3 linked regions of the Stegostoma tigrinum genome follow. Each later gene encodes a partner of the first gene's protein in a complex. Links are inferred from orthologs where the notes say so. Each region holds a gene or a part of one and is shown in the gene's direction. Other genes may lie near its edges.

The links.
Region 2: snrnp40 (region 1) and cwc15 share a complex: the UniProt entries of both Homo sapiens proteins name them as parts of the minor spliceosome. The link is inferred for Stegostoma tigrinum from reciprocal best matches to the Homo sapiens genes SNRNP40 and CWC15.
Region 3: snrnp40 (region 1) and rbm48 share a complex: the UniProt entries of both Homo sapiens proteins name them as parts of the minor spliceosome. The link is inferred for Stegostoma tigrinum from reciprocal best matches to the Homo sapiens genes SNRNP40 and RBM48.

The regions. Positions count from the first base shown.
Region 1 is NC_081377.1:34,184,713-34,188,465, reverse strand, and holds the start of snrnp40 (U5 small nuclear ribonucleoprotein 40 kDa protein), read left to right. Parts: upstream 1-950; 5' UTR 951-1,028; coding exon 1,029-1,121; intron 1,122-3,753. UniProt on the Homo sapiens protein: Required for pre-mRNA splicing as component of the activated spliceosome. Component of the U5 small nuclear ribonucleoprotein (snRNP) complex and the U4/U6-U5 tri-snRNP complex, building blocks of the spliceosome.
Region 2 is NC_081359.1:46,830,136-46,833,888, forward strand, and holds the start of cwc15 (protein CWC15 homolog), read left to right. Parts: upstream 1-1,414; 5' UTR 1,415-1,704; intron 1,705-2,278; 5' UTR 2,279-2,417; intron 2,418-3,753. UniProt on the Homo sapiens protein: Involved in pre-mRNA splicing as component of the spliceosome. Component of the PRP19-CDC5L complex that forms an integral part of the spliceosome and is required for activating pre-mRNA splicing.
Region 3 is NC_081355.1:77,255,411-77,259,163, forward strand, and holds the start of rbm48 (RNA-binding protein 48), read left to right. Parts: upstream 1-866; 5' UTR 867-952; coding exon 953-1,054; intron 1,055-3,444; coding exon 3,445-3,635; intron 3,636-3,753. Other genes in the region: pex1 (peroxisome biogenesis factor 1), read right to left, coding at 549-653. UniProt on the Homo sapiens protein: As a component of the minor spliceosome, involved in the splicing of U12-type introns in pre-mRNAs.

The DNA.
Region 1 (3,753 bases):
CAGCAGACAATTGCGGTACTCCGACAAGCATCATCATGGGCCAACATAAATCAAAATATACATTAACGTGTTCTCCAGTCCTCTTAGGGCACAGCAGCTGAAGAGAAGAAAGAGAATGCCTCTGAATACAGAAACTATCAATGACGCCTGTGTACACAAGCAGGTTTCTCTGCGAACACAGGCAGTTACACTGTGTGGGGGCTATATTTCTAGGCTATAAATGTGCAAGGACACCGCCACGTTGCATTGGAAGACCAGGCGGAGAGACAGAGCCCTTTCGCCCTCGACCGAACACACGCTGTGGTGGAGCTGCAGTCTCGGTGCACTGATATTTTCAAAGCAGTGGGGTGGGGGCTCCTGCCGGAGTTGCTGATGAGCCTGCAGTACGTAAAAATGAAAAGGACTGCGGATACTGGAAATCTGGAACAAAAACATAAACTGCCGGAGTAACTCCACACGCCTGAAAGCTTCTATGGGGAAGAGGTGCTGATGAAGTGTCAGTGGGCCCGAAGCGCCAACTCTGCTTTCTCTCTCCTCAGAAACAGCCAGACCCGCTGAGTTCCTCCAGCAATTTGTTTCTGTTTCAGCCAACTCGTGTCCTGTACCTACATATCACACTTTATAGATACCATTTACAAACTAATTCTCACATTAAACCATTGGATAAGTCATACCGAAAATCAAAATAATGAAGCAAATGAATAAACCCCACACCTCAGAAGCCATGCCATCTTGGAGCTTCGACAGGTAGCCAATTGCGAGGAGCCTTACTCAGCCTGGACTGAGTGACATCGCCCTGAGCAAATCGGTTAGCGGATCTCCATGGGTCGCGCCCCCTCAGTGGTAATGGACACCGGGGGTAGCGAATAGAAGACGCGATAAGGAGGGGCTAAGCCGGACGGCTGAGTAATGAGGGGCCGTGTTATTGAGAGGTGGGTGCGAGGGGGGGGGGTCAGATCGTTTAGCTGAAGGCGCTCAGTTTGGGAGAGGGACTTGCCGTCGGGAGTTCGGAGACATCGACGAGGACGATGATCGATCAGAAACGCAAGGCGCAGGAAATGGCGCTGATTCCGACCAAGCGGCCGAGGAACGAGGCGGTCCCAGGGGTTCCGCAGCAGGCGGTGAGGCCCGGGACGGAGGGAGAGAGAGAAAGGGAAAAAAAAAAGCAGGCAGGCCACTCACACTCACTCCCACTAGCGATCAGAGAAGGCTGTTCGGCCCATTCTGTCAGTGCTGGCTCTCTGGAGGAGAGCCATTCCCTTCAACGTCTCCCCATAGCCCTGATGTAGACTGAGGGATAAACCTCAACCAGGGCACTGAGGATAACCCGAGATAGTGAGGTGTGGAGCTGGATGAACATAGCAAGCCGAGCAGGACAGCTGCCGTTTCGGGCCTAGACCCTCCTGTTCATTTTTAAAACATTGTGAAGGGATCTTTTACATCCACCTGAGCAGGGAGATGAGGTTTTGGTTTAATATTTTTACCCGCACTTCCCAGAGTGGTGTACTCCCTCATTTATCCCATTTAACTTTAATAACAAAACTGAAAATAACTAGTCAGTCAGTGATAAACAGGATGCCTGTAATTGACACCCAATCAATGAATTGGTCTTAAAAACAAAAGAACTGCAGATGCTGTAAATCGGGAACAAAAACAAAGTTGTTGGAAAAGCTCTGCAGGTCCAGCAGCATCTGTGAAGTAAAAATCAGAGTTAACATTTTGGGTCCAGTGACCCTTCCTCAGAACTGATTAACTCTGATTTTTTTAACTTAGTAAATGCTGTCAGACCCAATGAATTTGTCAGTTGAGTACACCATGGTAGATTTGTAGTGTCCCTGCCTCTGGGCTAGATGCCCCAGGTTCAGATCTTACCTGCTCCAGAGGTGTGATATGACATGTCTGAGCGGTTGATTAAAATATATTTAGAAGTACTATAGGTTCCCCCAATAGTCAGTGGGAAACTGGAAAAAAAAGAGTTCTCAGACATCTGTAAGAATAATAATGTTGTCATGGTAGGAGCTTTTAACTTTCCAAACATAGACTGGGACTGCCATGGTGTTAAGAACTTGGAGAGGAACTTTGTGTGTACAAGTAAATTTTCTTATTCCGTATGTGGATGTACCTGCTTGACAAGCAGTAACACCTCATCTTCTCTTGGGAAGTAGGATCGGTGACTGAGGTTCCAGTGATCATAATTCGGTTAGTTTTAAAATAATTATGGAAAAGAATAGGCATGATCTTAAAGTTAAAATTCTAAACTAGAGTAGGCCAATTATTAGGTATTAGCCAGGAACTTTCAAAAGTTGATAGGGAAAGGCGAGCCATAAGTAAAGGATAGTTGGAAAATGGGAGTCTTTCAAAATGTGATAACGAGTTTAAAGACAGTATGTTCCTGTTAGTGCGAAGGGCAAAGCTGGTAAATGTAGGGAATGCTGGCTGACTAGAGAAATTGAGTTTTTGGTCAAGAAAACTAAAGAGAGATATGTCAGGTATAGACAGCAGGGATTGAGTGAATCCCGAGGGGAGTTTAAGGGCTGTAGGAGTATACCTAAGAGGGAAGTCAGGAAGGCAAAAAGGGAACAGGAATGAGCTTTGGCAAATAGGGTTAAGGAGAATCCAAAGAGGTTCTAAAAATGTATTAAGGGCAAAAGGGTAACTAGGGAGAGAATCAGGCATTTTAAAGATCAATGTGTCCATCTATATGTGGAACCACAGGAGATGAATGAGATACTCAGAGTATTTTGCATCAGTATTCACTGTGGAGAAGGACATAAAAGCTAGAGAAGTTGGGGAAATAAATAGTGATATTTTAAAGTGTCCATATCATAGAGGTGGTGTTGGATGTCCTAAAACACACAAATGTGAATAAATCCTGATCAGGTGTATTCTAGAACATTAGGAACCTGGGGAAGAGATTGCTGGGATCCTTACTGAGATATTTGTATCACTGATAGCCACAAGTGAGGTGCCAGAATACTGGAGGCTGGCTAATGTGGTGCCATTATTTAAGAAGGATGCGATAGTGAAGCCAGAGAACTATAGACCAGTGAGCCTGATATCAGTGGTGGGCAACTTGTTAGAGGGGATTCTGTGGGAAAGGGTTTACATGCATTTGGAAAAGCAAGGACTAATTAGGGACGGTCAACATGGCTTTGTGCATGGGAAATGGTGTTTCATAATTTGATGGGTTTTTTTGAAGAAGTGACAAAGAAGATTGAAGACAGAGTGGGGGACCTTGCCTACATAGACTTCAACAAAGTCCCACAGGCAGACTGGTTAGCAAGGTTAAATCACGTGGAATCCAGAGGGAGCTTACCAATTGGATACAAAATTGGCTTGAAGATAGCAGACAGAGAGTAGTGTTGCAGGGTTGTTTATCCAACTGGAGGCCTGTGACCAGTGCTGTGCCGTAAGGAATGGTGCTGGGTCCACTGCTTTTTGATACTTACATAAACGATTTGGATGTAAATATCGGAGATATTGTTAGTAAATGTGCAGATCCCACTAACATTGGAGGTGTAGTGGGCAATGAAGAAGGTTATCTCAGAATACAATGGGACCTTGATTAGATAGGCCAATGGGCAGAGGAGTCACAGGAGGAGTTTAGTTTAGATAAATATGACGTGTTGCATTTTGGGAAGGCAAATCTGAACAGAACTTGTAGAGTTAATGATAGGGCCCTCGGGAGTGACGGCAAACAAAAAGACGTAGAGGTGTTGGTGCATATTTCCTTTGAAAATGGAGTCACCAGTA
Region 2 (3,753 bases), on another chromosome or scaffold:
TGCACTTTACATTTTCTTTCAGCCAACCTGTTCAGAGATATTACTGCACTCCACTGGGGCAGGTGGGTTCTTGAAACTAAGCCTCCAGAGCCATCAAGCAGTCTGACAGGAGGAGCAGCTAGACACACTTCCAGCACGTGGAGGAGTCAGGAACATTGTTAGGGTCCCTGAATTCCCACATCTCACAGGAGGAGCATGACATGGGTCTGGGATCTCCTGCCATGACTTTATCCTTATGTTAACAGCAGTAGCAAAGCAAGGGGTAAGTAAGAGAGATGCTAAATTACTCAACAGGCACAAGCCATTCACTTACCTGCTGCCTGTGACTTCACAGTTAAACTTTCTTCTACTTCTCCTTTTCCCTTGTGTCTTCAGCAGCTGCAGTAGTTCACTCCTCCTCCAACTACCTCACCCTGCTGCTGCTCACCCTCCTCTCCCAAGCCCAGTATTCACTTAAGCCCACATCTAAACCTCCAGCAGTTCAACTAGAAAGCTGCCTTTCTCAAAATGGCTGCTCTGCTACAACTTGCCTTCCTTTTATTCACTCCAGGGCAATGACTGAGATGACTCCTCCCTGAATCTTTCTCAGCAGCACTCTCTGTTAGCAAATTGCACAGACTCAAGGCAGTTATGTAGGCTGGAATTGACATGAGCCATGACTAACCTCTCGAAGCATTTCATAATTATGGAGGTCACAGCCACTGGGAGACAATCATTGAGGCAGGCTGCATAAATTTTATGTGGCACCAGGAAAATGGTGGTCTTCTTGAAGCAAGTGGGAACTTCACATCGTAGTGAGGAGAGGTTAAAGATGTCTGTGAATGTTCCCGGCTACTGGTTCACACAGGGATCTGAGTACATAGCCTGGGACCTCATCCAGGTCAGTCGATTTCTGTGGTAAAATAAAACTCCTCTTGGTGCCTCTGATGACGTTACCAAGGTTGTATTTGGATTTTCTGCATAGGTCACTGCCAAGAGGCAACACGGGCCATCAAGCGTGTGAGGCTGTTTGGTATGGATGGTGATCAAGGAACGTGGAGTCGGGGTCACGGTACTGGAGGAGCATTCTACCTAGTTTACTACCACAGACCAGGGCTTGCCAGGTTCCTTTGCAGAGGAAGTTCACAAGCGTCCGTTGGTGCACTCAGCAGCGTATCGGATACAGGATGCCTTCGAAACATCAAAGATAATGATTAAAACATCAATATTAAAATAAAAATCCTGGGAAGGTATCATTTTCAGTCCTGAAGAAGGGTAATACTAGAAACGTTGATTGCTGCTTTCCTCCTGATGCTGCCTGGCCTGCTGTGTTCTTCCAGCCTCCTATTGTCTACCTTAGATTTCAGCAGATTTTTTGTGTTAAATTTTGTTTTTATTGACGGTTAACTTACGTATTTGGAAAAAAAATGCTTGAATCATCGCTAATAGCTACAGTTGACTTGTCATGGCATTACAGAAGAAGGAACCTCCTTTACCATCTGAAACGAGATCAGACTTCGGATCAGCGACTACACGATGAATAAAATTCAAAACGGCGATCAAGCGCTTCCGTTAGTTTCCATTTGGGCCACCATAACCTACTGCATTGTGGGATATTCGGACGTGAAAACCAGCGCTGGAATTGGGAAAGGTGTTGCTCTTTAACGTGCCGGGGTCGAGAAACATCGTTGGCCGGTGTCCGCCATAAACTCGTCTCTCTACGAGGTTCGTATGCGGTATAGTTGTTGTGGGCGTTTTAAATTCAGTTCGACGTGCTTTAGGGGCAACATTAGTTGGAGCGAAGGTGTGGATTTTACGAACGGATCGGAGGTTAGAGGGGGTGGCATTGCCGAGTTGGTTTGGGTCGTACCCTGACAGGACGAGTTCATGCGAGGGGTGATACAAACAGAATCAACAGTTCCTTTTAGAATATTTGGGGTAGGGATAGGGGCATGCGCGGGGAAAAAAATATAAGTTGGATATATACACAGATCAGACCATAGCATCCCGACAGTAAGAGGGACATAATATTTGGCCCATTGAGTCGACACCGATTCTCCGAAGAACATTCCGCCCGGACTCCATGCCTCTGGACAATTTAGCATAGCTCATCCAGATAACTTGCACGTTTTTGGATGTGAGAGGAAACCGGAACGTCAGTAGGAACCGACTTGGGGCGAATGTGCAGACTCCACACCGATAGTCACCTGAGGCTGGAATCGAACCGAGGTCCTTGGCACTTGAGGCAGCAGTGCTAACCACTGAGTTGCTGTGAAATTAATAACTGTGTTTTGTGCAGTGACATGCTGCGATATGGAAGTACTTCCCGAAAAGGATTCAGAAGTAACTTTTAGATGGGAGTCGAATAAAAAATTGGAAGAGGAAAATTCTGTAGAAAGTTTGAGGAAGTGGTGGCCCTTTTGAAAGAGCTGGCAGAGGTATGGTGGATTAAATATCTTTTGTGGTTCAGTAGAAGGGTGAGCTAGTGATATTTTGGAAGTGTTGCACGCTCATGAGTCAAAATGTTGTTGGAAACCCGTCTCCAGAACATATACATAATCTCGGGTGCGATCTACATTGCCCTGCTCTGTCAAAAAGACAGATGGTCAAATGAGGGAATGATTCAACTGGATGGAAAACAAACCTTATGGCTCCATTCAGAGTGGAGCATAATATTCTCCTGGTGTTCTGGCCAGCGTTCTGCTTTTCCAACACTGCCAAAAAAGTTCTTCTACCAGGTCATTTTGTTTGTAGTTTATGGGAACTCAGTTGTAGTTTTTTTGATATTAGAAAATAGTACGAACATAATTGCACTTCAGAATTAACAAAGTATAGAACTGGATGAACACTGCAGGCCAAGCAGCATCAGAGGAGCAGGAAGGCTGATGTTTCGGGCCTAGACTCTTCAGAAATGGGGAAGGGGATTCTGAAATAAATAGGGAGAGAGGGGGAGGTGGATAGAAGATGGATCTACAGTTCCACTCTCTCTGCACTTCAGAATTGCCTGTTTCTCCATTTCTTGAGGAAATGGAGGGATGAGGATGAATTTCCTTTCTTATGTGTGTATTAACTATCTGAACTAATTTTACTGAGAGTAACTTTTTTTAAAGATTAGTTTCCCAACAGTGTGGAAACAGGCCCTTTGGCCCAGCAAATCCACACCACCCCTTAAAGCATCCCACCCAGACCCATCCCCCTGTAACCCACACATCCCTGAACACTATGGGCAATTTAGCATGGCCAATCCACCTAGCCTGCACATCTTTGGACTGTGGGAGGAAACCGGAGCACCCGGAGGAAACCCACACAGACACGGGGAGAATGTGCAAACTCCGCACGGTTACCCGAGGCTGGAATTGAGCCCGGGTCCCTGACGCTGTGAGGCTGCAGTACTAACCACTGAGCCACCGTGCCGTCTGGCTTTTCCACAAAGAATGCTTAAAATGATGCCACATTTACCAAGGGTGGCTTTGCTGCATGACAGCTGACTGAGCTGGTTGAGTAATAGAGGAGGTAGGTGTATCAACAAGAGTGACCACCACAGTACTTGTGAAGACAAAAACCCACTTTCACATGGAGACACCCTTCATTAGAACTACCATCGTGCTCAATGGGATAGGTTGTGAACTAATCTAGCAAATCCAGACTAAACATCCGTGAGGCACTGTGGGCTGTAATGATACTCCAGAATAGAATAGCCTTTATTGTACTCCCAATGCAATCTACAACTTGATGGCCTAACACGTCTAACACCATCATTACCATCAAGTCAGG
Region 3 (3,753 bases), on another chromosome or scaffold:
TTGTTATGTCAAGCCTTACAGTAAGTGAAAGATAAACATAAGAAAATGCCATTACTAAAAACTAATTATAAACAAAATATAAATGAGGAAGGGTCCCAACCCGAAACATCGACTTTCGTATTGCTCTGATGCTGTGTTCCTCCAGCTCCATCCACACTGTTGTGTCTAATACAATGTTAATACACAATACGTCACATGCTACAAGTCACTGCGCGTGGCGACACAAAATACAACGCTTTTAAGAGAAAACATATGAAAGACCAGCAGCAATAGAATCCATTAAATTGTCGGCCTACTATATATATCCAAACTGTTCAATAATTGCTTTTGTTCTCCCAGAGAAGGAAATCTGGCGTCCTCACTCACAGCAGCCTGTATGTGGTGCCAGTCCCTCACCAACGTAGCTGACCTCTGAAATGAACATCACTTGCACCCAACCCCGACGCCAAGGTGACCGGGGATGGATAATAAATGCAGGCGTAAAATCAAAAAGACAGTGGTAGCGGGGAAGAGAAGAAAGGGAAGACGCCATTGGCGACGGCTATCACCTCCTCCAGATGAAGTTGCGATGCTCGCTGAGGGGCCAGGTGCAGGAAGCAGTCCTTGATGTTGCCGAGTCTGAGTTGCACGCAGACGGCCCCGGCAACCAACATCCTGCCGCGCGCTGCCAAAGGGCACAACTCGCGCCGCTTACACCGTTAGGCGCAGGATTCCACAGATTCGAACACAGACCGCATTCGCCAGATCCAGCACAGCCAACTTCCGTCAGTTTCCGTTTCCGAAAATGACCTACCGACGCAAGATTTCTTCGATTGACCTCTGACCGACCTATCACATCCCGAGCTCAACGGGAGGGCACGGAGGAGGCGGGACTCCATCCGGGGCCGGTGCCAAACGATCTAGTCATCGAGCGATCGGTACTCGATTGCGATCGTCTCTTCTTCGATCAAAGATGGCTGTTCGGGTTCCTGAGGTGTTCAGACACCATCGGCAGGAAAACGTCTGCTTCACGCGACCCAAGTACCGAGAGGGTCGGAGGCTGAGGGCTGTCAAAGTAAGTGCTGCTTCGGATGTAGGTGAAGGTTTGTGAAACAACCCGATCCCGTCCTGCAGCTCATTGATTGCGAGGAATGCAAAAGTCTTTCGTTGAATGCAATGTTGTTCTCAATGAGGATACAACATGGCTGTCTGGTGGAAAGATGCGAATATTTTGGAGTTTTCTTGGATCTTTAGAAGACGTTTATCGTTTTCTTGTCGACATTGAGCGTGATCCAGATTTCCACTTTATGGTCGAAAACATTTAATAATTTACTGCTAAATTATCTAATTTCAATGGCAAAATATTGCGCTCGATTACCTCACCAGAAAGAATTCTGTCCTTCCAATTCTTTCCTTTGTAATTATAAACAGTTCGGTTATGATCTAAACGTTAGCGGGTATAAACAGGTTATTTAAATTAACCCTGTAAACTCTAGAATATTTATGATTCTTGGCTAGAGATTCACTCTGTCGACTGAAGTATAATAATTCTAGCAGTTCGCTTGAACGGTATTCTAATTTAAACACTGACTCCCTCCACCACAGTGACAGTATTACATACAAGATACATTACAGGTGCATTCAAGTAATTTCAATAACACCTTACAAACCCATGAGTTCTACCACCTAGAAGGGCAAGAGCCGCGGTTACGTGGGAAACCACCACCTGTAACTTCTCCAAGCCGCACTCGGGACCGTATTTCGGTTCCTTTAATTTTGCTATCAAAATTCTGAAACTGATTTCCTAACACTACGGCGAAATAAGTAAACCACGTGGACTGCAGCAATTTGAGAAGATAGTTAAGCATTTGTTTGTTTTTCAAGAGCAGTTAAGAACAAACAACAAATTCCTAGCCAATGTTCACATGTAATGGCATATTTTAAAATTCTGCATTTTAGAACTGAATGACGGCTTCCAATTTCACCACCACCTTTCTGCCATACAGCTCATTTGCAGATCTCCTATATCTTTCTTTGTCTTGGAAATACCACAGTCAGTATGGCTATGCATTGGATGACAATGTCATCCCTGCAAAGAGCTTTAGGACTTCACTCACCCAACAGACCTGTTTCTGAACCTGAACAACAATTTGTCAATGCTGTAGAGGACCACAACATTCAAGAGCAGGAGACGTCTATCTGGCCCTTCAAAGCTGTTGTGTAATTAGTAAAATCATGGCTGATCTGATTATGGTGTCAGCTTTACTATTCTGTTTGCAAACCATAATCCTTGATTCCCTTGTTTGTCAATATTCCATTCAGCTCAGCCTTGGATAAGTTCAGTGAGCCATCCTTCACTGCTTTGTGGAGAAGATAATTTGTGATCTCCTTATGTTAGGAATAGAGCATAATGATGAACACGTAGAATTAGAAACAATTTATTGAATCCAAGTAACAATTGCAAAATAGTTGATTTAAATGCACAAATTGTAGTAATTGGATTTAAATACTATTACAGAGACGTGGTTACAGAGTGACCAAGATTGGAAATTGAACATTTGGGATTTAGGAGGGATGGGCAAGAAGGACAAGGAGATGAGATAGCACTCTTAATAGAAGACAGGATCAGTAGATTAGTGAGAGGGAACCTTGGATGAAAGGATGAAGATAGAACAGAGAACATAGAAAAGTACAGCACAGTACAGGCCTTTTGACCCACGATGTTGTGCCTTGGAATAACCCTATTCCAAAAGATGTAGAATCAGTTTGGGTAGGGTAAGGAACAGTAAGGGGCAGCACAATTTTTTTCAAGTTTTTTATAGATCACTAAATTGTACAGGTGATACTGGACACAGTACAAATCAGGACATTACACTTGCGTGTACTTGTGGGTAATAAAGTAATAATGGATAATTTCAGTTAACATAGAAGCTGTGTGGAACTTTTACCCTAAACCTAAGGTCTATCTAACCTCCACCAGTACCTTATACTATCTATCGTCCATCAAATCAGCACTAATGCTCTGGAGGATTCCTGGACTGTGAATGAGCTGGATTTCTGGAGCAGTTATATTGAGGAGCCAACTAAAGAGCAGCCCTTGGTGTCTGTTTCCCGAACAAGGGTCTTGGGAAGTCAGAAATTAAATTTAGTATAGATAGTATTTAAAAAGTTAACTTGATTTAAGATTGATGAATTTATGACCTTCATCCCAAAGTATTGAAGGATCATTAAATATCAGAGCAGAATTTGGCCTTTTAGCCCATTGAGTCTGCTGCAACATTCAGTCATAGCTGATGTGTTTCTCAATCCCATTGTCCTGCCTTCTCCCTGTAACCCTTGATTCCCTTAGTGGGATCACTGTGGGAAAAACTATGGGATCTACCACTCTAAAGCAATAATATAGCATTGATGATTTTGAAATCACTGGCTTTGTTTCCCCCACATTCATGTTTGACAATGGTCTAGGTGTACACAATAAATCTGGAATCGAAGCACCTGCTAATACAGGGAGTGCCAGCTGTGGGAGTCATGAAGGAGTTGATTGAACTGTTTGCATTATATGGAACCATTGAAGAATATTCTGTATTGCATGAGTACCCAGCTGAGGAATTCACAGAAGTTTATCACATCAAATACCAAAGATTACAGAGTGCAAGGTAATGAATTAGAAATTAACTAGAATAACTTTTTCAGTTTTGGAGAAATAATATCTTTCATTCTTTCTTTGTACAGTAAACCTTTTACTAACTGGTGCCCTATGGGACCAGTAGTGTG